Rhinolophus ferrumequinum: one gene and its partners. The protein of the gene in region 1 purifies or fractionates together with the protein of each later gene. This does not show direct contact. Links are inferred from orthologs where the notes say so. Each region holds a gene or a part of one and is shown on either strand. Other genes may lie near its edges. The genes, in order: DCAF7, FAM53C, CCT6A and CSNK2A2.

Region 1 (7,787 bases):
GCAATCACTATCGAGGGCAAGCAGGAACCAAAGGTCTGAAAATTCCAACCAATAATTTTTAAATTCTTGCAAATTATGGAATCTGGCACCTCCATGTCAAGGTTTCCCCAAAATTGACCCTGAGAATTACTGCTGCCCACCAGCCCCTCGGCACAGATCCTTTACAGCAGGATTTCTTAACTTGGGGTCTATGAACTTGAATTAGAAAATTACATTCATATTTTCACTAACCACTAGCTGAAATTTAGCATTTCTTTCAATTACAAATGGAGATGGCTCCTCACAGCAGCATGAATACCTGTGACTTTGTCACAAATACAAATCACTGATTTTTTTCATATCACATTACAGTTGTTAAACATCTTGAAATGCTGTTTACCTTTATCACTACTTCAAAAATACAGTAATAATTACACCAGATGGTGTAACGAGTTACATATTATTCTATCATCACTTTTAAAAAAATGTTTTTAATAACTATAGTTCAACACAATTGGTTTCCTTCATAATCCTATGTATTTGATGCATTTGAAAACATAATTAAGAGTAAATGTCTACTGGCTTCAGATTGCTAAAGGTGTCCAGGGCATGATGAACACACGTTACAAACCCTGACCTACATACGTGGGGGCACAAAAGTAGTTTTAAGATGCTGATCACCTATGTCACACAAGTTAAAACACAGTTAACTGCTTAGCTGTTACCACTGGAATCATGAGTTTGCATTATATTACTAAGGCCACATTGCATGTAAGCCTGGCACAAAGGAGCTCTCATATGGTTGCTAAATGGAAGTACAAACTTTGGGGTAAAGTTCCTGCAACTGAGATTTGACACTATTTACTCCACTAATTTCACCAGCAGCCTAATTGTGGGTCAGTCTGTCCTCTCTTAGAAATGTAATTACTATTGCTTACCCAAACTAATCCTGGAAAAATGTGCAAGGAAAAAGAACATCTATTTGGGTGAAAAGACTCAAGCTCTTTAAAATACATAGTTTACATTTTTTTTTTTTTTAACATGTATCCTTAAACCAGGGGTGTCCAAACTTTTTTCAACGTTTTTCACCAAGGGCCATATACGGTAAAATACACAAACAGCCAGGCCTCTCACTCGAGGTGAAGTACGTATTGCCTCACCTGCTTTATTTAAGTAAACTAAATATATTTTTGGATTTTGCTGCGGGCCAATTAACAATGGATTGCAGACCGCAGTTGGCCCGAGGGCCGCAGTTTTGACACCCCTGCCTCAAACAATAGTTCTAGTGCTCTTAATTATACTAATGCGATTTCCACATCACAATCATGAATTCCATTCCCAGCTCTGCTGTCCACTATGGCCATCAGGAAGAAAGGCATCAGAAAAAAGAAAATAAAATTGTCTTGCCAGGACTCTCTGCTTTCTGTGGGTAATGGGTGGACTTCAAGATCAGGTAGGCCTCAGTGGATGCACTCCCTGGTATTTGTTTGTAAACTGTGTATGTGTAGTGTCGGGGGCAATGAGAGTCCTTTGCTTTCATCGGTTTCTCAAAGGGGCAAAGGGATTTCAAAGACCTAACACTAGAGAAACAGCTGTATTCCTGAAGAACTGTAAACAAAGTTACATTATTCAAATGTTTTTTACAGAACCCCTTTCCTAAAACAAACTAGGGGTCAGAACTGCTAGCTCTCTGTCCTGTCACTGTCCACAGTTTTATTCTTAAGTCATCGTGTTCACATAGTCAAGCAGGAGTACTGGCTTTAAACACACTAGCCAAGGCTTTCAATTGCTGTGATCCCTAACAATCACAACGTTTACTCTAATACAACAAAAGGAAGAGATTAAGAGGTAAAGCCCAGAAAATTCTTCCCGCTGACTTATTCAACAACTTTCAAAAACAAGTTTATGCTGTACTGCCAGCGTGCAAGCTTCGCCTTGCTACTGATGCTTCTATGAAGGCTTACTCAAATTGACAGATACTTACTACTCAGGATTACACATCCACATTAGCATGAAAAAGCCAAGAAAAGATGTGGCAAGTGTCATCCTTCTTAATTCAGTAAACAGTGGTGAAAGCAAGGCCATTGGCCAAGATTTTTTAAAAAGATCGCACTGAAGAGGAGGGTAATAAGGCAGCAATGGCAATCCTAGCAGAGGGGCTGGGTATCCTCAAGAATAGTACCTGGGGGTGGGAGAAGAGCGAGGGGAAGTCTGCGCAATAGACAGCCAAGAGAAATCGAGTGTAGCCAGGAGTGAATGGCCACCAACTGAGACGCCAGCATTTTCCTTCAGTAATCCCTCCCTCCTCCGCCCCCCACGTGAAGCAATGCGGCAGGAGAGAGGGAGATACAAGTGATAAATGGCGTAGTTTTTGGGTGTAAATTCAGGTTTGAGATCTGTTTCCGCCACGAAACAGATGTCTGACTCGGGCAAGTCACAACATTTTACCTCTGTTTCCTTATCGGTAAAATGGGAGTACGGGTTAACTACACTCCGACTATACAGGAATGCTGCTACGATTAAATGAAACGAATATGAAACCCTCTGCTCAGGACGAGACTTAGAGGAACAACTCCATGGTGCTAAAGGCAAGTCCGCAGAAGGGTCCTGAGGTCGGGGGTCCGGCCCGGAAAGGGCGCTCCAGGGGACCGCTCGCCCCGCCCCCTACCTGCTGAGTTTCGAGGCCCTGCCCGACCAACCTTGTTGTTGTACTCCTCCACGAAGCTGCCCAGGGCCAGACGAAAGCGCTTGTCGGGCCGCACGCTCCAGTTCATGGCGTAGACGGTCCAGGGCGCTTCATACTTGTAAATCTCCTTCCGTTTGCCGTGAAGGGACATGGTAGCGGCGGCCGGGCCGCAGTGCGGGCCGGGTCGGCAGCGGGCTGCGGCAAGCGGTGCGTGAGTCGGGTGGGGGAGTCGGGCCTGGGACCCAGGGGTCCGAAGGGAGGCGGGGCGGGGGCGGGCAGGGACTGCCTAGCCCGGAAGCAGGGCCGCAGCGACAGACAACGACAGCCGAGCCCGACCCCCAGTTTCAAAACTGCTAAGGCTCGGGCGATAACCACCTTCCGTTTGAGATGCTGCCCCGCCCTCTCGGGACGGAAGTCACGCGTCCCCCGCAGCGGCGCCGGCTGTTGGCTGCTTGATACGTCCTTTAGAACGGTTCCTTACTCTCATTGGCTATTGTACCCGGTAGCTTTTGAAACCTCCTCGCTATTGGTGTAAATGTTTGTCATTCCAATTACTTGCACCGCCCAATTCCAAGGGGCAGGCGCTTTCTCAGCCCCAAAGGTCATTGGCTGACAAAAATGTCAGTCAAAGAGATAACGGCGCAGTGCGGGTGAATGGGGGCGTGGGTGGCATAGAGGCGGAGTAGTAGGCCTCCCAAGTTCTAGGCCAAATCTCTGACAGTGGTAAACCTCTTGTGTAACCTCCTTTGACTTCCACTCTGCAGCTGTTGTTCCGAGCGGCTTCTACATGCTGTCGAGTAAAAATTAAAATTCTGCCTTATTCAAGGGCCTGTTGCATTTCGCGGCACTAAGCCCCTCGGCCTGGCACTCTGGCCCACCAGCCAAATGGGAACCACCTTTCCTCCTCACTCTTACCAACGCTCCCTTTAAGCCGAGAGACTTGTTCTCCAGTACCCCAAGGGCAGGCCGAGGACAAGCCTTTTGCACACTAACCCGCCCATGTAATCAGGACCAGGCCAGCTTCAGTCAGGCCTTCCCGCGCTTTCCTGTCCATTCTAGAAATGCTGGGAATTCTAGGGTTGGCCCTTCAGTAGGCAGCGACCGACCAGCTTGGTAATAAGTTCTTTTTGTTTTGTTTTCTTTCTGTTCCCATTCCATCCTTTCCCCGCTTCGGATCCCAAGGCAAATGCTAATCAAGCGCTAAATTTATCTGTGTTGTGAGTTTGAATGGAGAATGTCTGAATCTTTACAATTTAAATGGCTTCCAATTCTTTGCTTTAAACAGAATTAAAGGAGGATTGTATTGACATTAGATGATATCATCAACTACAGTTTTTAATGATAAATGTAGTTGTTAGATAACTCAGTATTCAAAGAATTGAGTGGCACTGCTATGCAAACAAACTCCTTACAGTCCCATCTACTTATGTGAACAAGTTTACTCTGTGTTTAAGTTTTTTAAAAAGGATAGAAAAGTAGGTACAAAAGTATTGCTGAAGCTTGTCTTATTCTAATAAAAAATTATATTCATCCACACATATGAACTAATTGAGAGTAAAATACCTTCTTTTAAGAGATGCATTTCCAATAAAATTTTAGTTTTTATAAAAATTTGATATATTTGTGTTGTTTTGAAAAACTCTGAACTAATAAGTATAACCCTGAAAGCCTTTGTAAGATTACAAAAAATTAAATTTTTCATTTTATATATTTTCAATTTATGTGTTCGTGTTGCAAAGAGATATGATAAGATTATCAATAATAGACTTTAAAGCATGAAAATAAATTAGGTGTAGCATAAATTGGAAGGAATAGAATGGAATTTTGAAAAGAGTAAAAAGAATGATGTTAAAGAAGAGTTTGTTGTAGTGTTTTTAAAATTAATGATGTTGGTTCTCAAATCACTATGCTATTTGGATCAAAATGAATCAATATAAATGAAACAGTTTATAAAGTATCAATATTTACAACACACTGGAAATTACATCCTTTACAGCTATTTAAACTTATTACTGAAATACTTCAGATGTCAATTTAAAAATATGTGCGGGGGCAAATACATTTTCAAAATTATTCAGGAAATATTGGAGCAAAAGGAACTGAATACCAGTGACTGGGTACTTTTTGCAACAGCCTATTTCAGTGGAGTAGTTAACTGCATGTATTCTCATGCCAGACCATTTGGGTTGAAGTTACATCCTCCTTCTCCTGTGTTGTTGGGCAAAATTCTGTTTTTTAAATTGAAGTATAAGTGTACATATTTTCACAACCTGAAACGCACTTATGTAACCAGCATCTAGATCAGGAAACCGAACAGTATCAGCTCCCCCCCAGAGGTCCCCTTTATGCTTGTGTAAGTTTCTTAGTCTCTCTCTGCTTCTGATCCCACTTCTCTATAATGGGGAGAATAACATTGACCCCATAGGATTGTTGTGAGGATTAGATGAACTAATATCTGCAGAGCAGGTAGCACAGTGCCTGGCACAGGGTGTTATGAAAGTGGTGGCTATTGTCATGATTCCCTATGCTAACCAAGCCAGTACCTCTCTGCTTCCCTTCACTCCAGCTTGGCTAAAAGCCCCGTGATCCAGGTGCTCCTGGGTCCAGCAGAGCCACCTTTAGGTGCCTAACACACACCTCCGGTGAGAAGGGCTTGGAGAAGACAACAAGATGTTGGGGTCATGGCATAGTCAAGGACGTGATAACCCGCAGGTAAGTTACACACCCAGCCCAACGTGAAATGTGCAGACTTTATTAGCTGTGATACACTCCACTGTCTGCTAGAGTCCCAAAGGTCATCACAGAACCGTCAGAGGCAAAGCAGCTGAGGGCTGGAGCTATGTGCCCCGATATGTCCACTACAGAGGACACTTTCATTTCCAGCCAGGTCACAGGCTCTCAGCAGGAAGTCTGATCAACCTTGGATGCTGAGCCAAGAGGCGGTGGGTAGTTCTGATCCAGGACATGATTGCACCCAGCCTAGAGCAAAGTTCTCACACAGAAGATCAGAAACTTCTCCTTTCCTCACTGAACCCTCTGTCCAGTAAGCTTCCTCCATGCCCGAGGCTCACCCACCCTCCACCAGGCCTGCTATCTACACAAAGCCCTGGAAGAGTCTGGGAAAATCCTAAGCCTTCTTACCCTGCCATCTTGGATCACCTGGGTTAGACGTTTGTAGCTACTCTAGGAGAATGGTTTTCAGAGGACGATTTTGGCGGCTGTCTACCTCCCCCAAATATGTAACTCTTACCTCTCCCACCTTTAATCCCCTCATGGTGTGTTTTATCTTGGGGTTCAGTGGCTCTAACTCCCCACAAATCCAGGATCTGAGCCATGTCTCTGGAATTCCAGCTGCCTGGGGACAGAGCCGAGGTGATCAGGGAGGGAGGGGAAGCGGGGACCACAGATGAGTCCCTGTACCTCCAGGGCACGCAGAGGTGAGGCCAGGGGTGACAGGAGCCCCTCAGGCTGCTCCAGTTCCGAGGAAAGTGTCAGAGTTTTGTCTGGTGCCATGACCAGGTGAGGCATCCTGGGGGAGGAGTTCCTGCGCTTCGGCCCATGTTTGTCCAAGTCACCATAGCTTGTGGTCTGAGGGGCAAGAAAGAGTGAGGGATGCAGTGTGGGGAGCCCCCACCCCAGGCCACCCTGACTTCAGGGCTGGGAATTGGTAGGAACTATGTGTTCTTACCGTTGCCCCAGCTATGGGGTCTCAGTCATAAACTGGGCTTTGCCACTAATTGTCCAGGCTGCCCTGTCATGACTTGGACCATAAAGGACAGCAGAAGCCATGGCTGCTCTCAGGCCACAAGGCCCTGGGCCTGATGCCACACTGAGACCAAGTTGGGGGTGGGGGAAGGCATGCAGCTGCCTCTAGGCAAGCCCCTGGGGATCCCCTCACCTGCTCACCTGTGCAGGGGGCAGATCGCCCTGGGGCAGCCTAGTTCCTGGACTCTGAGTCTCTGAGGCCGCAGGAAACAATGCCAGGTCATTGGAGGCAGGGGCTCCCAGAATGTAGCCAGTGCAGCCCTGGGGCAGGGGCTGCTGAAGGAGCTGCAGGATGCGGCTGAGTTCTGAGGACATGCGGGACTCCAGCCTACCCGACAGAACCCCACAGTCAGGGGCAGATCAGGGTTAGTTAAGGTCAGGGTCAGGGTTGGTAAGAGCAGTCTAGGTCCGGAAGACAGCTCTCCATTTTGTAGCCTACATGCTGTTCCTGCTGGATGGAATGGAAGCCTGGGGCCTACCTGAAGCTATTTCCCTGCTACCATCCGCAGCCCCTCCCCAAATTCCCCTTAGCACCAAATTCCCCTCTGTCAATAAAGGTGACCAAGCACCATGCACACATCATTTAGGCCTCATAAAGAACCTTTGACATGGGTATTCTGATTATCCCCATTTCACAAAAGGGCAAACAGAGGCTCAGAGTGATTAAGTGATTTGCCCACACTCTTGCTTGTAAGTTGCAGAGCCAGAATTTGAACTCAGGACTCTTCTGCCCCTAACCTCTCACTCTGCCACCACAGCCCTGCCATCCACAGGCCACATCCCCGTTCCAAGGGCCCATGGAATTTGTTTCTGCACGAGGTTATGCCCCTGCCCTAAGAAAGTTTCCTTGGCATGTTCTGGGGTTTGCTGGGACAAGCCATCCAAGGAATTGTGCTCAGTGACATAGGGATGGGGAAGCCTGCTATTAAATGCTGTCAGCCATTCTGAAATTCATAGGACATCCAGTAATGTCCCCAAGTCACCAGGAGGGGGCACCTGTGCCTAGCCTGCCGTTGGGCCTGCTCTCTGCAGCCCAGAACTCTGTCCTGCAGGGCACTCACCTGTTCACCTGGGCCTGGAGCTGCTCTAGCCTGGAGCCTAGCTCCTGAGGCCAGCAGTCTGGGTCTCCCTGAGGGTCTGTGGGGCTGTGCCTTGGTCTTGGGGGCACTTGCTGCAGCAACTCAGGCCAGAGCCCAGATGCCTCTGAGAGGCTCAGGGAAGGGGCTGCACCTGCAAGAGGGAAAGGAAAGCCTGAGCTTGTTCTAGCTGGTTCCACAGCCCTGATCCCATGCCCCTCCTGCTTTGGGAACACATAGCAGGTGAAGTGGATCTCCTTACCTGGGTGCCCTGGAGTATG
Region 2 (7,948 bases), on another chromosome or scaffold:
TACCACAGCATCCCTACGCCAGGCCTCTGGCAGACATCATTAATTGATCACAGTTCTTTCCTGTTAAGCCTAAACACAGCCGTAGACACATTCTAAACTTGGCACTCCAGATATGCAGAAAAATGAACTGGAGGTGGCAAGTTGAAACCTATTTGCCGCTCCTAACTTGGTTCATGCTCTGCTGTCTACCCAGAATACCAGCACCACTTAGAAAACAGCTCGAGTGAGAGGAATGCCCAAATGGTCACTTCCATCCTGATTAGCCCAATATTTTTATTTTCCAGTCAAAAGCAATGAGAGGTACCCTTTTCCTAAACTACAGAAATAATAATAGGGAACAGGGAGGAGCAGCAAGGAATGACTTTCTGCTTCAGACCGATCAGAGTAAATAAGGTTTTAAGTTCTTCCTTAGCCTGACCAGCTGATGTATTATAGTTGTCTAACAGACACTGTATATATTCTCTTATAAAACGAGAAGATAAGGAAACGGTACCAGGGTAATTCCAATTACATTTCAACTCTACAGATGTTAAAAACAACTCTATGATTTCATTCAACCAAGTTTTTAGCTTGATCTAAAACCATGAATACAATTAATCAAGACTCTTTCTCAGGTTAATTTTGGTAGAAGCAAACTAATTCTATCAAACAGGCTTCAAGCCCACACCATTGCCTGAGGGGCCTTGTTCCAGGGAGGGGAGGAGGTTAACCTAGCGTCTCCATACTATTCTGCCTATTTCCAGAAATGACCAGCAGCAGACAGCTCACCAGAGGGTATAGGTAGCATTCGCTAGTAGAACTATCAAGAAATCTAAGTCTTGATCCGATTTGCTATGGCAGTTTTGGCAAATCATTTAACCTGTCTTGGTCCCAATTGACCCACATATAAAACAGGCAGAATAATCTGAATCTGTCACAGGGACAATATATAACACGAAATATCAAAATGTAAAAAGCATACCATCTGGCCTGTACAAACCAAGAGTCCACATAGGCTGCAGTTTCTCACCCCTCCCATTTGTTGCTCTACAAAGCCTCAGAAGGCCATAGTGATGATATCATTAAGACAAGAAAGCAATCAATCGGGTTTATCTATTTGGTTGGATGTCACCTGCATAGCAAGAGAAACCCTAAAGGGCTCTTCTGTGACCTTGGAGGCAGATCACTTTCTACTTTTACAAAAGAGAAGGACTCATCTCTACCCCAATCCCACTTCAGAGGGAAGCAGGCCACAAGGAATCAAAGAAATACACACGGATGTACTTGGAGTTTGGGGGAAGAAAGATGTGAGAGAAGTCAATCGTCATGATAGTCAACTATCATTTTCATGCATAATTATTACAACCCTGAACAAAGTTCCAGCTTCCTGAGAGCTCCCTTCAGCTGCTTCCCCTGTGTTCTTGTGGAAGAAGCTAAAGCTTATATCACTTCTGCTCTTGGTTTCTTAACTCTGCCCTCAAAGATCAACCAGAGAGGAAACCTAACTGCAGGCTTTTACCCCAGAAAGCCCAGACCTCTGACTGACCAGCCATGAGGAGCAGAGAGTGAAGCAAAAGTCTTTGGAGCTTTTCATGAGGCATTTGGCCAAACAGCAAACTCCCAGCCCTCTCTGGGATCAAGAGAAGAGAGTGATTTCGTGTTTTTCTGCATTTTAATTGTTGGGATGTGGCCACACACACACACGGCGGTAATTGGAACAATGCAACTACCACCACGCAACTGATACTCTCAGCCTGAGTTTCCTAAAACAGGCCAGGCTGAGAGGGGGAACAGAACGGAAGCCATAAGGAATCAAACCAGGACACAAAAGAAGGCAAACCAGCTCCGCCAGGGGCCTCCTCTTTCTCAGGCAGGCATAGAAAAATGTGTAAGAAGCCCTCTCTTGCCGCCTTCCTTCCCCTTCCATTTTGTATATCTGAGGGGTAGAGACAGCCCTGAACGTTCACTAAACAAGTTAAAACTTCTCAGCTTAACAACTGGCACGGGGCTCAGCCCTCTACAGAGCAGCAGGCCGCAAGGCCCTCCCCACAACCCCACCAGGCCCAACTCTCAATCCAGGCTTTCCCTCCACCATCGGCCTCCTAAAATAAAGGTTGGACCCCCATCCCATCTTCTATTGGATGGCAGTAACCCTTGACATTCGGGTTTCAGGGATGCTGAGGTTGTGCTGAAACCTGGAGAAGGTAGGATCAAGTCAGGCCAAGAGGGAGGAGAGTCACAAATCCCCTGGGGACCCTTCCCCAGGTCCCAGCCCCACACCTCTGGGAGAGACTGGAAGAAAACATGAGGGAAGCAGGGAGGTGCATGAACAGGTAAGTGGGGACTTGACTGCTTTTCTCCCATATGGCTCTGGTGGAGATGGGGTAACAAGTGGGGAGCACCCCTCCCCCCACCCTGATGAAGAAGCAAAATGCTAGGCCCCCCCTCCAATCTTAAACCTCTCCCTCGGTTGCCCTGCCAGTCCCCGCGGGGTGGGGCATGGGGCGTCCGCTGGCCCCGGGAGGGGGGGGCGCGCTAGGGTTCGCTCAAGGGGGTGTTGCTCGCCTCTTCCCAATCAGCTTCCATCATCTGGCCGCGAGAAGCGAACTCAGGACTCGGGGGATGGAGAAGGTCTGGGACTTAGCACTCCGCCACCCCCTCCCCCACCGGGTCCCGTGCTCTCCCCGCGGAGGCGGTTAGCGAGGCCGTGCGGCGCAGGCGGCCGGGCTGGGGGAGGGGAAGGAGGGACGGACGGCCGAGGTGCCCGCCCCGAGGCCCCAGCGCTACCTGCCCTCCGCCACCTACCGCGGCTCCTTCAGCTCCCAGGGCCGCGGCCGGAGCAGCTCTGAGCGCTCCGTTAGCCCCACGGTGCCCTTAAAAGGCGCCGGCGCAAACCAACAGGCCTCTGAGGAGAGTGGGGGAATCGCTCCGGTTCACAGAGTTCTCCTGAACCACCCCGGGAGGCTCGAGACCCGTGTTGTTTCTCTGTCAAAGTCTTTCTTGGATAACGCTGTCAGGAACGAGCCCGGCTTCTTGATTTAGGGATGAGGACGGTTTCCTCATTATCGAGTCACCCCCTCCAGAATATTGCAGAAGGTGGACCGGCCCAGTTGGAAGCATACCTCGAAACCCGCGGGGGAGGCCGTATCAGACGAAGGTAAACAAAGCCATAGCCCCCACCCTCCATTCCTACATGGGCCCAAGTACAGCCCCCTAATCGGTTCGGGCCGCGTACTACAATTAGCCAAGGTTCCTCTCACCTGCTCTCCGGTCCCGCTTTCTAGGGCCACCTCACTGAAGGAATCCCCCTTCCCCCAGCAGAGGACCCGTCCGTGACGTGAAGGATTCTGGGAAGTGTAGTCCAAGCGCCGATTAGGGCCTGCTCTGTGTCCCAGGAGCCCCTCTTCCAGTGGCCGGATCGGCTCGAACCTCATAAATCCAGGACTTGTAACAGTTGCGGGGCCATTTCCATTTGGTTCTGTAATTAGCCCTTACCCCAAACACTTAGTAAAGCTGAGGAGGGCCCAGGGCTGTTCACTCCTTCTCCTCCCTCTACGCACCACCCCCCCAATAGGATGAGGTAATGGGATTGTGATTATGACATCATAGGCGGTTCAGTAGCTCGCGTGGGGGGTGGGGGGAGTACGGTGGTTACAGCTGGACCACTTTCCTTAAGAGAGGGAAGGAGGGAGGAAAACAGGCAGATGGGGAAAAGATGTTGATGTTGCTATATTTCCTCTTCAGGAAGAGGAAACCACCTTTTTATTACCTCTCCACCATTGCCACCACCTCCCACCTCAGCCAAAGTTTAAGTCCTTTCTGAAGAGACTGAATGTAGTCCGTAGTAGGTGAAGAGGTTGGGGAACAGCTAGATGGTTTCTGGTCCTTATGTAAATTTGAGTCTCAGCTATCAAAGAAGATTTAGAGAGACAGACAAAAAGATGGAAAAAGGAGAGGTTTTAAACAATGCCTCCCTGTTGTGATCTCTTTTGTAGGGCAGGATTTTAGATTTCTCTTTTAATCAATTGGAAAGTAACAGTAATGCAAGTAAATCCTCACTATTACACTTAGCAACAAGGCCCCGGAAAGACATCTGTTTTCCTTAAATATTCTGTGCCTCACTCAAGTCTGGGACAGATAAGTAACTGTGATCAGCCAGAAAGTAGAACCAGTGGTGGGGATCTTCTTCACAGAGCCAGGGAAGGGAGAAGGCAGGAGCCACCAAGTCTGCAAACTGGAAAAGAAGAGGGAAAGTGAGGTACTTAAGAAAATGGGGGGGTGAAGGGAAGATGTACTTCACATTTCCTTGCCCTGCACATTTGCCCTTGGGAAAAGAAGGAGCAGGGGTAGGGGCCATGAAGTTACAGGAGACATGGTTTCCAATAATTGCTATTGTAAAACACTTATTATGTGCCAGACACTTTAAATATGTATTCTCATTTTTGCTTACAATCATCAAATGAGTCAAAATCTCCTTATTTGACAGATGATAAGTGACTGCCCATGTGGTGGACAAAGGTAGTATTTAAAAAAAAAAAAAAAAAGAGTCTGAAGCTCTAAAGCCCTTGGTCTTCGCCACTAGGTGATCCCCCTTTTTATTATTAACCATGCTTACTAAAATGATTGAGTATAAGAAGTTAGCATTGGCTCATTTGCAAAACATTGACAGAAATTGAGGCAGTTAAAAAATAACAAGCCCCGCAAGTTAAGTTTCAGGCCTCACTTCAAAGGAAAATTATACACCTTTCATCAAGTATAAAATAGCCCCCAGTGCAGCCCAACTCCCCATTACTAACTATAATTAAATCTCCTTATGTCACTTTTCTCAAGTTTTTAAATTCATGTCATGCTATTTTTTCCTGCTGCCCCATTTTCTTTGTTTTGTTTTTGGACTACTACCTTGAAGCCCATCTTAATTGTGACCTCCTGGACCAGACCCCATCTCTGACCCTGCTCCAGTGGATTTCAGCAGAGGATACTACCTGGGCTCCCTCTGGTCTCCATCCATATTGTGAAGATTCCAGGGGTTGGAACCAGTCATCCAGGAGGTTATTCAAAAGGGAGGAATCCACTGGCTCTAAGAGACTCTTCATTCCCTGCCTGGGAAGGCAGCAGAGTCAGAGAAACATGCACTTCATTCAGACTCTCCTTTACAGCCAATGAAAGCTAAATCTTTGCAAAGTGGGGGAGATGTAGGACTCAGTCCACCACTCAAGAAAGGAACCAAGAATAATGCACACACCCTTTAGCCCCCGTGCCCTGCAGAGGTTGGCTGGGGGGATCCCAGGAATGTAGGGCTCTTCTCCACTGCCTGATCTGGGCATCCCAGGAGCGGCGACTGTACCTCCTATTTTTGTTTGGTGTTTGAGGGTGAAGTCCTGGCTGTCGCTGTGTCCTGGCAATGACAAATGTGTCAGAATGAGGTCAAGGTGAGGGGGCACGGCTCACTGCTTATCACAGTAAAACAGGAGACTCGTTAGGGAGTCTCTGAGAATAAGGTATGATCAATTCTCTTGATCCAACAGAAAAAAATAAACCTTCAATCAGATTAAACATCACCTTCCTAATTCCCTAATATTCTTTCTTCTGGAAATGGTAAATTATATATTCCAATTTCCTCAGAAGTCAAGATAGATATAAAAGACAGTATTTGATATCCTGTTCAAATACTTTCTACCTTTTCATACATTTAGTTTGTATGTATGCATGCAAATTTACATGTAATTGGGCAAGTATGTTGCAATTAGCCACGTCAGTTGGAGGCATGAGGTAAAAATGATTGGAAAGAAAAAAACTTCATTATCCAAAAACATGGATAGTTTTTTTTAAAAGATAGACTTTTAAAAAAAGTCTTATGTGCCAAGTATGACTTGTTCCATTTGGAAAAAATCTTGGAAACTTAATTTGGGGGCTAGATTGCAGGATAATTCGTTTTAGTAATGCTGCAATTTTGTGAGAGCACTCAGATTCTAGTATCTTTCCATCACCTGACATTGAACCAAAGCCACTTGATTGACTCTCTTATTGTGACTATGCACAACTTGGGGGAGTGCTTAAGATGGGCACTCACTTGGGGACCTGCTGCAGAAAGCACTGGTAACCAGGTGTGCGCTTGCCATAATCTATCTGCTTTTGCCTCCGCTGTAGGACAATTTCATCTGTCTCTACCTCCCACCTGCAGAGAAGTATATAGTGGCTCCATGAAGTGTGATTATAATTATCAAAGCAGAAACCAACTCATCCCACCCTCCCTTAATCCCCAGCCTGATTTTCACTCACCTGGTATGGCAGGGCTCTGTGCTGACTCCCACACTTACCATCTCTATCCTAGAGGACAAAGAATCTTCACACACCTCCTTCCTGGGGAAGCAGATTCTACAGATGAATCTGTGTTAGGGCAAAATCCAGCTTGCTACACTGCACCTCTCAGCCACTACTACCACCACCAAGATCCTGACACCAGATAAAGGTTGTATTTCTGACTTACTGTTTCTAAAAGGTAAAGGTTGCATTTCTGATATGTTTCTCAAAGTGTGGTCTGCAAGCCATCTGCAGGGGTAGCACCTGGGGACCTTGATAATTCCTCAGCCACACTCTAGACCTATTGAATCTTCATTTTGGAGGCCTGTATTTTAAAGAGCTCCCAAGATTATTTTAAACATTTTTTTTTTAATTATAGAAAATTTCAAACATACAGAGAAGTAAAGAGAATAGCATAATATTTTGCTACTCAAACTATGGTCCCTGTAGCAGCTGCATCAGCATCAGCTGAGAGCTTGTTTGATGTAAAGAATCTTGGGCCCCAGCCCAGACCTACTGAATCAGAATCTGTATTTTAACAAAATCCCCCAGGTGATTAGTATGCAGCCTAAACTTTAAGAGAACTGACATAATGGACCCCCGGTTACCCATCAACCAATTATTATGGCCAGTCTTGTTTGGTCTATACCCACCACCACTACCACAGGATTACTTAAAAGCAAATCCCCCAAATTAAGAATAAATTCTTACTATCACCTAGCCAATGTTCAAATTTCCATAAACAACCAAAGTTTGGGATCCTTTGGACTTTGATGAGGATTGTGCCAACAGATGATTCAACTCCCCTGCTTTCCGTAAAAAGGAATTTCCTTTACTCACATAACCTAGCATCTCAGAGATGCTGTGCGTTAAAAGGGACACCCAACAGGGAAACCTCTTGGAAGGGGCCAATGCCGTTTAGCATAAATACACACACACCTGTTTCGCCACATCTGCCACACCGGCGACAAATGCTCCACTTCCAGCGGAAGGCTAGCAAACTAAGAGGGAAAGGTCCATGTAACAACACAAGAAAGAACCAAGGAAAAAGAAACGCATAAAACACCCTTGTATCGAAACTAATGTCTTCAGGTATTAACCTAACGAGTGGACCGCGGAGCAAAGTGCAATTTAAATCTCCCGGGGACGAAGGGGCTGAGCAAAGGGAGAGCTCAAGATGGGTGTGGCGATTGGCCAGAGGCAGAGCCAATGGTGCGCCAGGCTCCGTGTGGGGCGGGGCTTACTAAACCCCTTGCCGAACGCCAGTGGGCCAGTCGGCATTCTGCTCTGGCTGTGAGGCGGGGCAAATTGTGTTCCTTCCAGCTCAAGTTCACGCCTCCGGTTGATATACCAGCCAAACGATTGGCCGAGGGGTTTCTGGGCGGGCGTGCGGAGATTGGCTGACGCAGTTTAGAGGCGAGCGGGATAGGTTATTGGGAGGGCGGAAGGTTTGAATGGTCAAGGCCTGTGGCTGTTTATTTTCTTGCTCCGAGGCTTCGACCCTCTGAGGAGAGAAGCGGCAAAGTCTGACTCCGACCTACCCAGTGAAAAAGCAGAATTGTAGTCTGGTTAATTGCCACCTTTCCCCAGATTACCTTTAATTCTGCTCTGGTCTTCGCTTGTGATTGACCCCATCTACATCCACTTCCCTTCCTCCTGAAGGTAAATC
Region 3 (7,582 bases), on another chromosome or scaffold:
ACGGCAGAGCAAAAACTTAGGGCACTATGGTAGTTATCCCAATAAGAAATGATCATGGCCTAAACCTGAGTGGTGGACATGGGGATGGAGAAAAGTACATAGAGTGGAGAAGGGTGACATCTAGAAAGTAGGTGTGAAAATATTCAGGGAGCATGTGAATATGGGAGCCTGAGGCAAAGGAAGCAGTCAAGGGTGAAACCTAGGTTTCTGGCTCTCCCCTAATACAACAGTGTGACCTTGAGTTTATCATTTACACTCTTTCTGTGTTGATGTAATCATGTGTGAAACTGGTTTAATATAGGGCTTCAAAGGATGCATATTAGGATCAAATGCAACAACTGATGGGAAGGTGCTATGAACATTATGTAGTTAATTGCGTAATATGAACGGCAGTGGCAAATAACACCTTCCATGTCTGGCACAATACAAAGCATGTTATACATGCAATCTCAGTTTTCTCTATGATGTCATTTACCCCTACTTTATAGATTAGAAAATTGAGTCCAAAAAGTTAAGTAACTTTTCCAAGGCCACATACTGGTAAACATTGCAAACTAGAATTCAAACTCAAATTATTTCACTCTGGGATACTTTCCAATACACCACCCTGCCTCATTAGGGTTCTTTCCTTAAAATGTTCTTTATTGAAATCCCTCCTGATTCAAATAGCTGAACACCTGCCGCCACCTCTATTTCTTCAATCATGGCATACTATGGGTCTGCTCCCACAATGTGACTTTTTGTTTAAAATTCTCCAAACAACATTCTAAAGTTCTCCCATCCTATACATACATTAGCATACAGGCAACACTCCCCTGCTACTTTATTTTGCATCATATACTGGAAAGAATTAATTTGCTTGAAAGTGTGATAACTAAGACTAGAAGAATGATATATGCAAATAGCTTGCCTCTAGAGGAATAATGAGGGTCCTTGTTTTGCTGACTTTGTCTAATTCCTGGTATGATGTTAGTGGAGATGCCTAATCTAATATTCTGGTATTTGTTCATTATGGATTTTTTGCATAAATTTTGCAAAAATAACTGCATTAAAGCATTCATCTTGATTACTGAGTTTTGGGTGCCTCTTAAATTTTGCACCTCAGGAGAGTGGAAGTCTTTACACTACCCCTTTCCCTACCTGCAAGTAGATGACTGAAGTTCCACAATCTTCATCTCTGTTCATGTCTCCCACACATCTCTAACAGTAGCTAAATAAATCTGCATGCACAGCAAGTAACATCATGGGGCTCCTTCTACTGTGTTGTGTTATACTATCACTCAAACTTATGTAGATACTTTTGGGATTTTCAAATATACAAGCCTACATAAAAGCATTATATACCAGGATATTCACTGTAGCCTGAATAGAAGATCTGGAACAACCTCAACGTCCATTAGTAGGTGACTGGGTAACTATGTCATTCTTACAAAGAATATCATGCAGCTGTTCATGAGGAATCCCGCTGTTTTCACCTGCTCCCCCTCCCCCCAGCAGTGCTGGGCTGCATCGTGCTCACTCCCAGCTCCTGCTAAGCCAGTGCCACTGTTGTGTCTTTCCAGCCACCGTCGTGATGATCTACTGGGACCAAATCAGCCACGATGAGATGTTCTCCAACATCTACAAGATCCAGGAGACTGAGGATGGGCTGTGCCTGGAGGTGGAGGGGAAGATGGTCAGTAGAACAGAGGGTGATACTGATGACTCCCTCATTGGTGGAAATACCTCGGCTGAAGGCCTGGAGGGCGAAGGTCCTGAAAGCACAGTAGTCGCTTGTGTTGACATTGTCATGAACCATCATTAGCAGGAAGACAGCTTCACAAAAGAAGCCTACAAGAAGTACAAAATGATGAAATCCCTCAGAGGGAAACTTGAAGAACAGAGACCAGAAAGAGTAAAACCTTTTATGACAGGGGCTGCAGAACAAATCAAGTACATCCTTGCTAATTTCAAAAAACTACCAGTTCTTTATTGTTGAAAACCTGAATCCAGATGGCACGGTTGCTCTGTTGGACGACTGTGAGGATGGTGTGACCCCATAGGTGATTTTCTTTAAGGATGGTTTAGAAATGGAAAAATGTTAACAGAGTTGGCCATTGGGATCCATCACCTGTCATCATAACTAGCTGCTGCTTTTCATCCACTCCCCGGTCTAGAACAAATAGGACTGATGTTATCTTGAGCTGTTCCATTTATTTTCACCTTGATTTATTTGGAGTGGAGGCATTGTTTTTAAGACAATCATATCATGTAGATTGTCTAAAAATAAAATGCATTTAAACTCTTTTGAGAGAATGTCTCTTAGTTTAATACACATTTAAAACCATTCCTGTGTAGTGTTCCTGGAGAAGCTAGAGCCTGTTAGACCATTACTATAAAGTGTAAGACTGTCTTCAGATAACTTCTACAATGAAAACTACTGGGACTGGAATATAAAAAACAAGGATCAAAAGTCTAAATTCAGAGTTGAGTGAAGGGAAAGACCATGCTCACAGTAAACATTTCAAGTGGATTCCTTAGACATTTCATCACCTGCAAACGGAAGTAGTTAACTCTGGAAGAGATTACCAAAAGAATAAAAAGATATTAATACAATTGGGGACAAAAATGAGGAATCCACTTGCATTGATATTTTACAATCTCCAAGGTACTTTAACACACCCAACACTGTGTATTATAAATTGCCATTTTGTGAGGGGAAAATGCTTATATTTATGTATGTACAGAGGGTGCCAAAAAAAGTATACACATTTTAAGAAAGGAAAACTGTATTAAAATCATAATACTTAGTATATACCAATAACAAAAGATGAATACAAGTCACATTTGACCTCTGCAATTACAGGAGGGGCCCAAAGCAGTTACCATCAGTGTCCAAACACTTCTGATTAGGGCTAACTACTGCTTGAGTAATGTTGACCAAAGTGTCCACTTGTATACATTTTTTTGGCACCCCAGTATTTATTTCTAAATTCAGAAAGCATCTGGGAGAATTCAGAGCATCTAAAGGTTTAACTATGCTTGTTTGGAGGAAGTTATACCAGCAGGAAGAAGTCTTACTTTTATCATATACCCTTTGGTACCTTTTGAATTCTGAACAATTTTCATTATCTATAAAAATAAAAAACAAAACATTACTGAATACCTCGTACTTGGAGGGGTGGGGGAACTGGATGCTAGAAAACAATTGTAGATATTTTTTTCAGAATTTTTCTGTCTTCAGTGTCCTCTCAAAGGCTGGACAACACTGCTCAATCAAGTTTGAGTTTTCAAACTTGCCTTGAGGGTCTAAGGCCTCAGCAGTGAGTTTTGAGCCCAGAGGGTGAACTGACTTGCTTCTCCTCAAAGTCCACACCAATCCCACAGATTTCTAAAGGCATCTAGCACTTTCTCCCTTGCATTCTCCCTTGCATTGTATCTCTTCGTCTTCCCTAGACCTAAAACACCTAGGATACTAGGCAAGAATAAGAAACATCTAAACCTGTAGAGAATTATGAGTTTATTTATTTTTATGAGTTTATTTATGCTGGGAAGCAAAATCTCAATGGAGTGAGAAAATGCTCCGGAGAATGGCAGTTTCACAGCTTATTTTATACATTAGAATCAAAGGAGGCATAAGGAGGGTTACATGAAATCCATTGGTGGTCCATTAAGGAGGTGGAAGAAAGCATAGCAGAGAAATCTCTGGGATTCCATAAAAGGCAAAAGGAAGAAACACGCTTCTTACACTGGTGGGTACAGGATAGTAACATTTACAGCACACAGAGATGGTACCTGGGAAACAACATAATGAGGGGCTCTGTGGTCTTGTGCTCTGGTGCCAGCAGTTGTGCCTTTGGAAAAGAAAATTACTCGGACACTTCAAAGATACATTATCCTAGACGCCTACGCTATGGCTCGAGTTCCCTTAAGGTAAAGGCTAACCTTTGCTACGGAAGATGTAGGCCGACCTGCTATTACCTGCCCAGTTAGGAATTTGTGATCAGACAATCTTGGGTGGTTACTTTTCATCACTGAGTTTGTCAGGACTGCACGTGGCCCCGCTGAGCCTGTCAAGTTTATTACATAACCCTTTTCCATTCACAATCCTAGTCAGATTCACTACAGTAGCCCCACATGACCTAGAACACTAACAAGCACATAGGATGCAGTCAAGAAAACTGGTGACAGGGACAAAAGAAGGGCAGGAAACAAAGCAAACTCCGGAGGGAGGGAGGCCACTGTACAACCTGCGGTCAGAGACCTCCAGGAAGGAGCGCCAGCTCTCTAGTCACCCAAGAGGCGGACGGGCGCGCGGCCCACAGCCCCAACCTCCCGCTGAGCGGGACTCGGTCGGCCCCCGCTATGTCCTCAGGGCTCGGTTAGCAAAGCCAGCGAGGACACCGGAAGCTCGGGAGCCCTTACCGCTCGAGAACACGCTCCCCGCCTCCCTGCGCAATGGCGCCGAAGCCCGGGAGTGAGGGGCGGGGCCGCAGGCGGCCGGCCATGCGACCAAGACCCAATGAGCGGCGCCGGCCGACCGGCGGCCCAATGAGGGCGGCGCGTGGGCACGCTGGGGGCGGGCAGGGCGCGCCCGACTTTTCCAGAAGACCCGGATAGCGCCGCTGGGCCACGCTGAGCCGGCTGTGGGCGATCTTCACGCCTGCTGTTTTCTTTTTCTGCTGCTGGGTCAGTTATGGCGGCTGTGAAGACCCTAAATCCCAAGGCCGAGGTGGCCCGAGCCCAGGCTGCGTTGGCGGTCAACATCAGCGCGGCCCGGGGGCTGCAGGACGTGCTGCGGACCAACTTGGGGCCTAAGGGCACCATGAAGATGTAAGGCGGGGCTGGTGGGGGAGGGCCGGGCGGGCACCGCGCACCTCGTGTGGCCGCGATGCCGGCAGTCGTGGTCTCCAGCCCGCTGCTTCCGGGCCTGTGCGCCCGTTGCTTCTCCCCTTTTACCCCCGTTCCCATGTCAGGCCTGTTTCCTGCCCCGGCTGTTTTCTCTTGTAGTCGATGCATCCTTCGCAGAGAACAAAGCTGCCCTCGTGCGCGGATCTCTGGGACTAAAGCGACCCTGAGGACGCGCGGCACACTGTTTCTCAGAAGGGAGGGGGTGGGCACTGCGCCATTCCTGTTAACCGGGAGTGGACGACCAACTTAATGGCCGCGTGCGGCTTCTTAGGATCTGGGTAAAGCGTGGTGTCGATGGGAGTCAGTTTGGTCTCCGTTGAAAAAGTCACATTGATTTCGTTTCTGCTCATTGAACAGGCTTGTTTCTGGTGCTGGAGATATCAAGCTTACTAAGGATGGCAACGTGCTGCTTCATGAAATGGTGAGAGGCTGCTATACGTTTAAAAGGTCTTGGTTTGCATTGGAGGTTTAATTTGTAGGGAGATGTTTAATGTTTATTCTCAAGGTAGGAGGAAATCATATTCATCACCTCTCAACAGGCCAGTCTTACAGACAATGGAGAGAGTAGGAAAGTAGTCTAATCAGTAATGGTAGCCACAGTATGTTACAGTGAGGAGCCCTGGAGTCTGATACTTATTTATGAATAAGACAAAGGTCTTGTCATTTAAGGCCTTTAAAGGATTGAAATTATTAAGATTCTAATCTGAAAACCAAGCAGTTGACACATTCACATAGGCAGAATGAGACAGGTTGTTTGTACTTTGTCTCTTTAAAACAGCAATTTCTCTGTTACCTGTCATCTCTTCCATCTTCAACTGGAGGGGAGATAAAACGCCTTGCTTAACCATTTTAAAAGTCCTGTGACCAAGAATCTGAGATTATTGAGAGGATCAAAAATTTTACACATCCATAAGTTCCCAAAACTTAGCAGTTCAAATCCAAGAAAAGGAAATGACTTGCCTGTGTTTTGAGTTAAGAATAAAATGTAGGGCTTTGATAGTAGGGTACCATGCCTTCAGCATCCAAATGTAATCAGTGGCCTGTGCTGGCTGAGAACACTTGGAGTCATAGTTGAAACTTAATATCAGAAAAGACGTAGCTACATGGTTTTTTTTTTTATTTTACTTGATTTTTTAAATTGTGAAATACAGCATAAACATAGAGAAGCACATTAAACATTTATAGCTTAACAAGAAACTGTAAAGGAAACAGAAGTATACAGTGTCACCTCTGTGTTGGTCTTGCCAAAAATAGCAAATGTAGATAATGAGATAGTCTACAAGGTAATTGGGCTGGATTCTTAAAACTGTCAATGTCCCCAACGATCTGAAGATTAAAGGGTAAAAAGCAAAAGCAGTGCAGGAGCCTTGTTTGAATCCTTTCTCATTAAGAATCTGTGCGTGATATTGGAGACTTGAAGAATACCCTGTTCTTCCAAAGCCTTCCCATGCAGTGATTTAGCATCCACTGATGACCTTTGCTAGGAGGGCTATTTCTTTTTAATTGTTTGATGCCGAATAATATTGGAGGCTGCTAAACTTTTATTTTAGAAGTTACCTGATTTATTCCCACCAAAAGCCCTTAATTGAGCGTCAAATTTCCTTATCAATAAAGTGGAGATAATCTTGAGAAATATATACATGACAATATTTTGGTCGTCAGAAACAATGCAAAATAGCTAATGGTGACTTCTTAATCAAAATAATATGTAGCTGAACACTTGGGTAATTTGTGCAAATACATAGCATTTAAGGATGCCGTTCACATTTTAAGGTATATTTGTATTGTTTCAAGTTACTTAATTTTTTTTTCCTTTTTCTACTTTCAGCAAATTCAACACCCAACAGCCTCCTTAATAGCCAAAGTAGCAACAGCCCAGGATGACATAACTGGTGATGGTACCACTTCCAATGTCCTAATCATTGGAGAACTGCTGAAACAGGCGGATCTGTACATTTCTGAAGTATTACATGATTCTTACGTGTTTCTGTGATACTTTATTGTGTATAGAAAATAATCTGAGTTTTATTTATACAAATTGATGTGTTAGTAGTAGCTGAGGCTATATATAGTAGAATGTGAAGAGCATAGCGGCTTAAATCTGGGAACCAGAGTCTTTATCTTGGTCTCACACAAATTAATTGTGATCCTAGACAAGTTAAAGATCCTTCCTGGGCCCTGAAGGTTTCTTATTTTATCAAGTTGCATTGCATGTATGACATATGTCTGTCTATAATGTAGACTAATAATTGAAATCAGGACTAGGCATATTTATAAGGAAAAAGCCAACCAAAAACGGACTTAAGAATTCTACAACTTTTTTTAGCCCTGAGTAGGTCCAAAGTTAAAGCAAACCTTAATAAATACTAATCTGATGTCAAGAAAAACTTCTTAGGAAGGCAGGAGGCAGACTCTTAGTCTCCCTGTCTACTTTTTCTTGGTAAATGATAATGAATTAATTTCAGATTACCTATAGAAAAGATATAATGGTCCTATTGACTGCAGGTTGTTGTGACACTTGAGTTTTTGTCATTATTCCTTGTAGTTTGCACAGTGAACACCCAAGTGTGCTTTATAGTTCCCTTGGCTTTGACTCTGTGCTAGAGCAATGTCTGTTCTTCTCCTCTGCATTGAAAGGACTATTTATCCTTTTAAATGTATTCAGAAAGTCAGCACATTATATTAATTGTAT
Region 4 (7,099 bases), on another chromosome or scaffold:
AAAAAAACCCACTTATTAAAAAACCTTATATAATAAGCTTTTTCTCATCACCAAAAATTCCTGATAATCATAATTTTTAATGATGCCTAATAGTTCGCTATAGGTACATAACACAATTTATCTAACTGGTCCCAATAAGGGATATTTAAGTTGTTTTACATTTTTATGATTAAAGATGATGATTTTTATGATGAATGTCTTTGGGTCTTTGGGGGTGTGTATTGAGTCAGAAAGGGATTCAGGAAATGGACTGAGTGGTCAGAAAGACCTGAGTTCAAATCCAGCTCCACCTCAATTATCCGTGGCATTAGAGTCTCAATGTCCTCAACTGCAGAACGGGGATCCTTGCAATAGCTCCAATCTCATGGAATTTGTTGTTGTTGTTGTTGGAAACGAACAGCCTTTTTATTTTTTTATTTTTTCATAGAATTTTTAAAACAGCTCCCTTGAGATACAATTCACATACCATATAATTCACTCATTTAAAGTGTAAATTCAATGGGTTTCAGCCTCAGGGTGTTTGCAGGTTTCAATGATACTGAACACACAAATTGTCACCTCTGTTAATAATTCTTTGGTCATAATCAACGTTATTTTCTTAGTCTAGGTTCTTAGAACCAGCAATACAGGATAAAAGCCCAGAAACCTCTCAAACAGTTTTGAAAGTGGGCCTTATGAAGATAGAAAGTATTCTTCTGAGAATTTAAAAGTTTTGTTTTGTTTTGTTTTGGGGGGGTGTTTGGATAGACTTTGGGGGCATAAAATTGTTGGGCTATTTGACTCACGATGCCCTCTTTTATCCCCCTTATGTAACCCTAAATTATAATCACCCTACACACAGAATACACCCAGAATAATTAGGGGAAGTCGATTCGGGTTCACTGAACCTCCCTGCCCTGTCACCCACTCCTGCAGAGCCGTCGGCCTATTCCTCTCCATAGGCCACTGAGACTTCCTCCTTCAGTGAGGGTGGCATTGGTGCCATCTCCAATTGCCCATCTTAATTCACGCCAAGTACACTCATGGAGGGCTGGAAGGAAGACTAGGAAGTGGGTCTCCTCCAATTTCATGGGGTGCCCAACCAACCTACCTACCAACAAACCATAAAAACACACTCCATTTGGCCGTGGGAGGACTGCCAGTGGATTTCAGGGCTGAATTAACGAAGTGTCAGCTAAATCCAGGAGCCTGTTGTACCAGAGTGACGTGTGGGTGAATCCTTAGGCATCACGGCAGGTGTGGGAGCAGGTTGCGTGAGATGGGTGTGGGTTAGGTGGTGAGGATGAAAGGAAGGTGCAGGGAGGGTAGATGGAGGCAGAGGTGGGCGAGGGTGATGGTGAGGAATGGGGCCCTGGCTGGGGTTGGACCTAGTAGTTAGACCAGTGGTTTGGAACCATTTTTGGGTCATGGCCTCCTTTGAGAATTTGATGGATCCTAAGTAAAGAATGCACCCACCCACCCACCCACACACACACACACACATCCACAAATTTTGCACAGTGTTGGGGGTTCCTGGAACCCAGAAAGCTCATCCAAGAGCTCAGTATTAAGAACCTCTGGGCTAGACTAGTTCACAGGGACTTGTCAGAAAGAAATCCTAAGGCTCGTTAAAACCTTGAGACTGTGTGTGCGAGAGATTTGAGAGGTTTGCAGGTTTGGGAATTAAATTCCAAAGTCCACTTATTCTACAAATGCTTTGTTTTCTTCCATTTTTTATTTTGAAAAATCTTCAAATCTGCCAAAAAGTTGCAAACTCATGTAGTCTGTAACTACGTTTTCCACTTGTCAACATTTATCCCTAAATGCATCCCTCTCCCCACGTATGCCTGTGCTGTCAGGCAGGAACACATGTTTTTCTGTAGAACCAATAGAGTAAGCTGCAAGATACTATGATACTTCTTCCCTAAACGTTTGGCATGTAACTCTTAAGATCAAGAGATTATCCTGCATAACCACAAGAGAACCCTCACACAACATTTAACATGGACAACTATCATGTAATAGGCGTATTCTATTCAAATTCCCCCAGTAATACCAATAGTGTCTTTTTAGCTGTATTCTTTCTACTTCCCCTTTTTCCTCCTTCTTGCCCTCCCTTCCTGCCTTTCTCATCCAGGATTAAATCCAGAATTATACACTTCTTTTAGTCATATCTGTCAGGCTCCTTCAATCAAAGACACTACTTCAGAGATTTGTTTTCTCTTGTGACATTGATATTTTTTTTAATAGTCCAGGCTAGATGGTTTGTAGAATGTCCCCCAGTTTGGATTTGTCTGATTGGGTCCTTGTGATGAGATTCAAGTTAGGCATTTTCGTCAGATGTCATGTCCCTTCTCGATATATCACATCAGAAGGCCAGAGGTCCCTTACTGATGGTAAGTTTGATTTATGGTTAAAGTGGGGACCTCCAGGTTCCCTTTTGGAATTGATAAGTGGGTAACACTGTAAGACTGTTTTGAAAGTCTCCAACTGTGGCAAATTCTGGGGGAGCCAGAGGTGAGCATCCAGATCCAGTCCTTGCTCTCATGCTGTTTTTACTGCGGAGGAGACAGACAATAATCTAGGAAACAAGTAAATAATTACAAAATATGCTCTTGTCTTCAGGATATGGATAGGGTGCTGAGATAGAGAAGTATCAACTCTAACATTTAAAGTGAACTTAAAGGTGAGACTTGAAAAGGAATAAGGAGTCAGGCATGGGAAGGTAGGAGTGGAGGTGGTGGAAGTGGTCAAGCTTGGAGTTGGAAGGAACCAAAAGATGGGCTTCTGGTGGTCTCAGGGAGGGAAAAGCGATAAAAGAAAGGCTCTGGTCTTGTAATAATAATATTGTGCATTTGGTATCTGCTAGACCCTGTTCTAAGTGTTTTGTACGGTTTACCTTGTCTAATTCTCCCCATAACCTTGGGAAGTAGGTGCCATTCCTGTTTTTATGCCATAAAATCCACAGCACAGAGAGGTTAAGTCATTGACCCAAGGTCACACAGCCTGTAAGTGGTAGAGCTGAAATTCAAACCTGGATGGATCTGACTCCACGATCTCTACTCTAAACTATGTCAAGAAGGAGGAAGCAGGAAAAGCAAGAAAACAGAATGTGGAAAATAACTGGAGTCAGAGCAACCCAGGCTGAGTATGGAAGTTCTGTTGATAAAGGATTTAGAATGGGAACACAAGACCACAGAAAGCCCCATAAGATCAAAGAGAGAAGAATTTTAACGGCTAGGAGACAACATAATAATATAGGCCAAAGTTGGGTTGCCCATCCTGCTCTCAGTCCATGCACAACCTCCAGCTTGTCCCTTCATGGGACTCTCACAATTCTTCCCCTGCTCTTCATCCTCCCCCACAAAAATCAGGGTATTTACATGGTCTCCAGTGTCTCCCCATAAATCGCTTTTTAATTACAAAGGGAAAAATAGGAACTTGACAAGAAGCAACCTGGCTGACTCCAGCTTGACCAAGTGATGGAACTGAACATTCAGAGGGGTCTTAGACAAGGCTCTGGAAGAAAAATCTGGGGTAAAGTGTAAGAGAAGGATTTTTTGAGGAAGGCTCTGGATGAAGAGAGGAGTCGTGTTGGAGGAAACGATGGGTGACTGGGCAGGATCCAACCGGGAAGAGGGGGTGTCTCTGGGAGGGATGGAGAAATCTTGAGGTGGGGAGGTTCTGAGTGATAAGAGCGAGTCATCATCGGAGAGGGACTTGATGGGAACAGTTTGGGTGACAGGAGGTCAGCACAGGGTCCGTTCAGTAGGGAGGTCGGGGTGAGTAAGCTCTGGACGACTACAGGGTGGAGGGCTTAGGACAGGCGTCTCCAGGACAGTCCTGAAAGGGTATACGAGGGGTGAGGCTCTTAGGCAGCAATCTGTGGGTGGGGGAGGCCCTGTGAGCTCGTCCCGCCAGACTGAGGGTGGAGAGCTTTAAAAGTGGGGGTCTGGGCGGCGGGAGCCGGGGGCGGGGCCGAGGGCGGGACCAGCACCGCACGGCGGGTCCCCCCGCGCTGCAGGGGGCGCTGTGAGCCTGGGCGGCCCCGGGCCGGGCGGTGGCCGCTCCTAGTGAGCGCGGCCCTTTTCCGGGTTCCCTCCTCCTCCTCCTCCTTCTTCTCCTCCTCCTGGTCGCTGCCGTCGCTGCTGCCCCTTTCCCGGCCGGCGGCTGCCGCTGCTGGTGCTGCCGCCGCCGCCGCCGCCGCCTTGGGGCCGCGAGCCCAGCGGAGGCCGCCGCGGAGCGTGAGCGCCGCCCGCCCCACCGCCCCGCCGGCCGCTCCAGGGCCGGGCCGGCTCGGCCGGCGCCCCCCGCGCCCCCAGCCCGCCCGCCCCCGCGGGCTCGGCCTGGCGTGGCCGCCCGCCGCCGCGCTCCTCCTCCTCCTCCGGCGCCCCGCGGCCCGCCGCCTGCTCCGGCCGCCGCCCCGCGCCCCTCGCCGCGCGGCCGCCCTCGGCGCCCCGCGGCGCTCCCCGGTCCCGCCCGCCATGCCCGGCCCGGCCGCGGGCAGCAGGGCCCGGGTCTACGCCGAGGTGAACAGCCTGAGGAGCCGCGAGTACTGGGACTATGAGGCTCACATCCCGAGCTGGGGGTAAAGCAGCCGCCGTCCCCCGCCGGGTCCTCTCCCCCCCACCCCGCCCGGCCGCTCCCCGGCGCAAACCGCACTCGCCCCCGGGCGGTCTGGCTGCCCGCGGGCCCCTCTGCTGGTCCGGCGTGTCCTCGGATCTGGGGTGGGAGGCAGAGCCTTGCCCTTGTCTCCCTCTCCCTGCCGTGCCCCCCCCCCCGGACCCCAAGGAATGCTTTCTCTCTGGGGAGAAGTGTTGGGTCCAGGGCCTGGTGGAAGGGAGGGAGCAGCCCTTCTCACACGTTTGGCTTTTTATTGGGGTGGGAAATCAGCAGCTGTCCTCTTGAGCTATTCGAATTTTCTGCTTTTTTAGTTTTTTTTGAAATGAGGCTGGGTGGGAGGAAATTTTTAAAAGACGTCCAGATACTCAAAGCTGGCGCTGTCTTAAGGGTGTGAAATAGAAGGCAGGTGTCGCGGCGCGCCGGGCAGAGGGCTGCCCTCGGAGCCTCCGGGGTAGATGCTTTGCTCCCCCGTCTAGATTGGCACCGAGCAGTGCCTTCCTCCTTCATCTCCACAAGTTACCAGGGACCAATTAGGTGAGGAGCTCTGAGCAGAGTGAAAGGAGCCAAGTTTATGTTGTGGCGTTCTTTTAGGGAAATGAGTTGTGGCGTGATGGATACACATGTCCAAGTGCTTGGTTTATAGAAGTAGCTGGATGGGGATGTAGAGTGAGCATAGGCTTGGTTAATCCCAACTCCTGGCATTGATGTTTCTCTCTTGCCTTTTACAGTAATCAAGAAGATTACCAACTGGTTCGAAAACTTGGTCGGGGGAAGTATAGTGAAGTGTTTGAGGCCATTAACATCACCAACAATGAGAGAGTGGTGGTAAAAATTCTCAAGGTGAGTGTCTTACGAGTGGCATTACATTTTTTACCCCCTCCACAGGTCAGAAGGATACAAATTACCCCAGCCACATTCTAGAATGAGCAATTCAAGCTCCCATTTTACGTATCTTCTGTCTGATGTACCCCCACTACTCCTCCCACCCTATTTTCCTGTGAACTTTCAAGAAAATACGCGGACCTGTTTCAAATTGAGGCAGGATCGCTCGGCAGCATCCTTGTTGGAAATGTATTAGGTTGGTGCAAAAGTAATTGCGATTTAAAAGGTTACAAATACTTGCAAAAACCGCAATTTTGCACTAATCTAATAATTACAGCTCCCAAAGTGAATATTCTGAGGGGGCTCCACTTGTTACAAAGTAAGTAGGTGTTCAGAAGAAAGAATAGCCTTTCCATGAAGATCCATCATTCCAAGGGCTCCTTGAGCACTATTTGGTTACTCTTGGTGCCCTTAGTTATCCCAGAAGGAATGTTGGAAAAAATGGGAGCTGCTCCAAAGATGAGTTTGCAGCCTGAGTAGAGGGAAACATCTCAGTGGATAATCACTTGTTTCTTCTTCTTTGGCAACAGAAGTTTCAGGTGGGTAGGTGTAGTGAGCCACTAGTGCCAGAAGGTTCATTGTTGATTATCAGCCAGTAGAAGTGAAATTGGGAGCAGTAGATGAGTGCACTTTTCACTGCTGAAATAATAATTGGAATAAAACAGTCTTAGTGTTTGGTCGAGTAGCATGTTGGACCTTTTGTCGTCTCTTAGATGAAGATACGATCTCTTTTTTCTTTTTTTGAAGACATGATCTTAATGAGCGTGAAGAGTTGGCTAAATTTTCCTCAGGTAACTGATTGTGTAGCTTTAACCATATTTTATAGGTTGTCCTAAAAAGTAATTATTAGAATCTGTGAAGTGTCCTCAGCATTGCCAGATCATTTAATATGTGTGCATGTAATTTATGAAATATTGAGAAGACCAAAGAGTAATCTAAGCACTTCTACAGGTACAAGATTTCCAATGTGGCCATTTTACAGAATTTTCTGTGAATAAGAATTTGGGGTTGAAACACTTTGTGTCTGAAGGATGGAGTTAGGGTAGCTGTGTCCCTGTTTAATATGAGAGGTCAAGCTTATACTGTCTGAAAAATCACCTTTTAGAAAACTGATCAACTCTTAGTACCATCCAAGCCTAGTGATGAAGAAGCAGAGTTGCAATAGAGAGAAATAAGTTCTTCGTACTGTCAGAAACACGGGGGGTAAGAAGTGAGAAACTGATGTTGAAGATGTGGTGTTTGACTCCCCTCTTCCCTAAATATGAATGGTACTTACAAAGTCACATGGTCTTTACAAATGTAAATATTTAAAGAAATGTTCCTTTCAGAGAGGCCACCTGGGGAAATCATACAATTTTTTTCCTTTGTACATTAGTGTAAATGTTTTTAGTATAAGCTGCTTAAAATCTTTCTAGGAAGTAAGCAAGGCATAAATGAAATTAGAAATATCTGTATTCTGTTGCTGTGCATTCAGAAGAATGAACTGCTTACTCTAAAGCAAATCCGGAAAATTGTCTAAAGTTTTTAGAATACATGCAATTTCCTGTGGTCTTTTTTGAAAGGAACAGTGTCCAGGTGTACACGTAAGTAACAGTACATTCATTTAGGAAAGTGT

The links.
Region 2: the proteins of DCAF7 (region 1) and FAM53C purify together in Homo sapiens (affinity purification with mass spectrometry; 3 studies listed by BioGRID and IntAct, counting the BioPlex papers as one, with this or other methods). This does not show direct contact. The link is inferred for Rhinolophus ferrumequinum from reciprocal best matches to the Homo sapiens genes DCAF7 and FAM53C.
Region 3: the proteins of DCAF7 (region 1) and CCT6A purify together in Homo sapiens (affinity purification with mass spectrometry; 3 studies listed by BioGRID and IntAct, counting the BioPlex papers as one, with this or other methods). This does not show direct contact. The link is inferred for Rhinolophus ferrumequinum from reciprocal best matches to the Homo sapiens genes DCAF7 and CCT6A.
Region 4: the proteins of DCAF7 (region 1) and CSNK2A2 purify together in Homo sapiens (affinity purification with mass spectrometry; 8 studies listed by BioGRID and IntAct, counting the BioPlex papers as one, with this or other methods). This does not show direct contact. The link is inferred for Rhinolophus ferrumequinum from reciprocal best matches to the Homo sapiens genes DCAF7 and CSNK2A2.

What each region holds. Positions count from the first base shown.
Region 1 is NC_046304.1:42,212,721-42,220,507, reverse strand, and holds the start of DCAF7 (DDB1- and CUL4-associated factor 7), read right to left. Parts: upstream 3,035-7,787; 5' UTR 2,817-3,034; coding exon 2,679-2,816; intron 1-2,678. UniProt on the Homo sapiens protein: Involved in craniofacial development. Acts upstream of the EDN1 pathway and is required for formation of the upper jaw equivalent, the palatoquadrate. The activity required for EDN1 pathway function differs between the first and second arches.
Region 2 is NC_046307.1:13,421,322-13,429,269, reverse strand, and holds the start of FAM53C (protein FAM53C), read right to left. Parts: upstream 3,023-7,948; 5' UTR 2,785-3,022; exon of another isoform or gene 2,767-2,784; intron 1-2,766. Other genes in the region: oocyte-specific histone RNA stem-loop-binding protein 2-like, read right to left, coding at 4,082-4,213, 4,959-5,079, 5,222-5,374, 6,050-6,154, 6,259-6,299.
Region 3 is NC_046290.1:99,864,935-99,872,516, reverse strand, and holds the start of CCT6A (T-complex protein 1 subunit zeta), read left to right. Parts: upstream 1-4,535; 5' UTR 4,536-4,675; coding exon 4,676-4,812; intron 4,813-5,247; coding exon 5,248-5,311; intron 5,312-6,718; coding exon 6,719-6,853; intron 6,854-7,436; exon of another isoform or gene 7,437-7,570; intron 7,571-7,582. UniProt on the Homo sapiens protein: Component of the chaperonin-containing T-complex (TRiC), a molecular chaperone complex that assists the folding of actin, tubulin and other proteins upon ATP hydrolysis.
Region 4 is NC_046298.1:10,605,845-10,612,943, reverse strand, and holds the start of CSNK2A2 (casein kinase II subunit alpha'), read left to right. Parts: upstream 1-4,093; 5' UTR 4,094-4,463; coding exon 4,464-4,567; intron 4,568-5,330; coding exon 5,331-5,442; intron 5,443-7,099.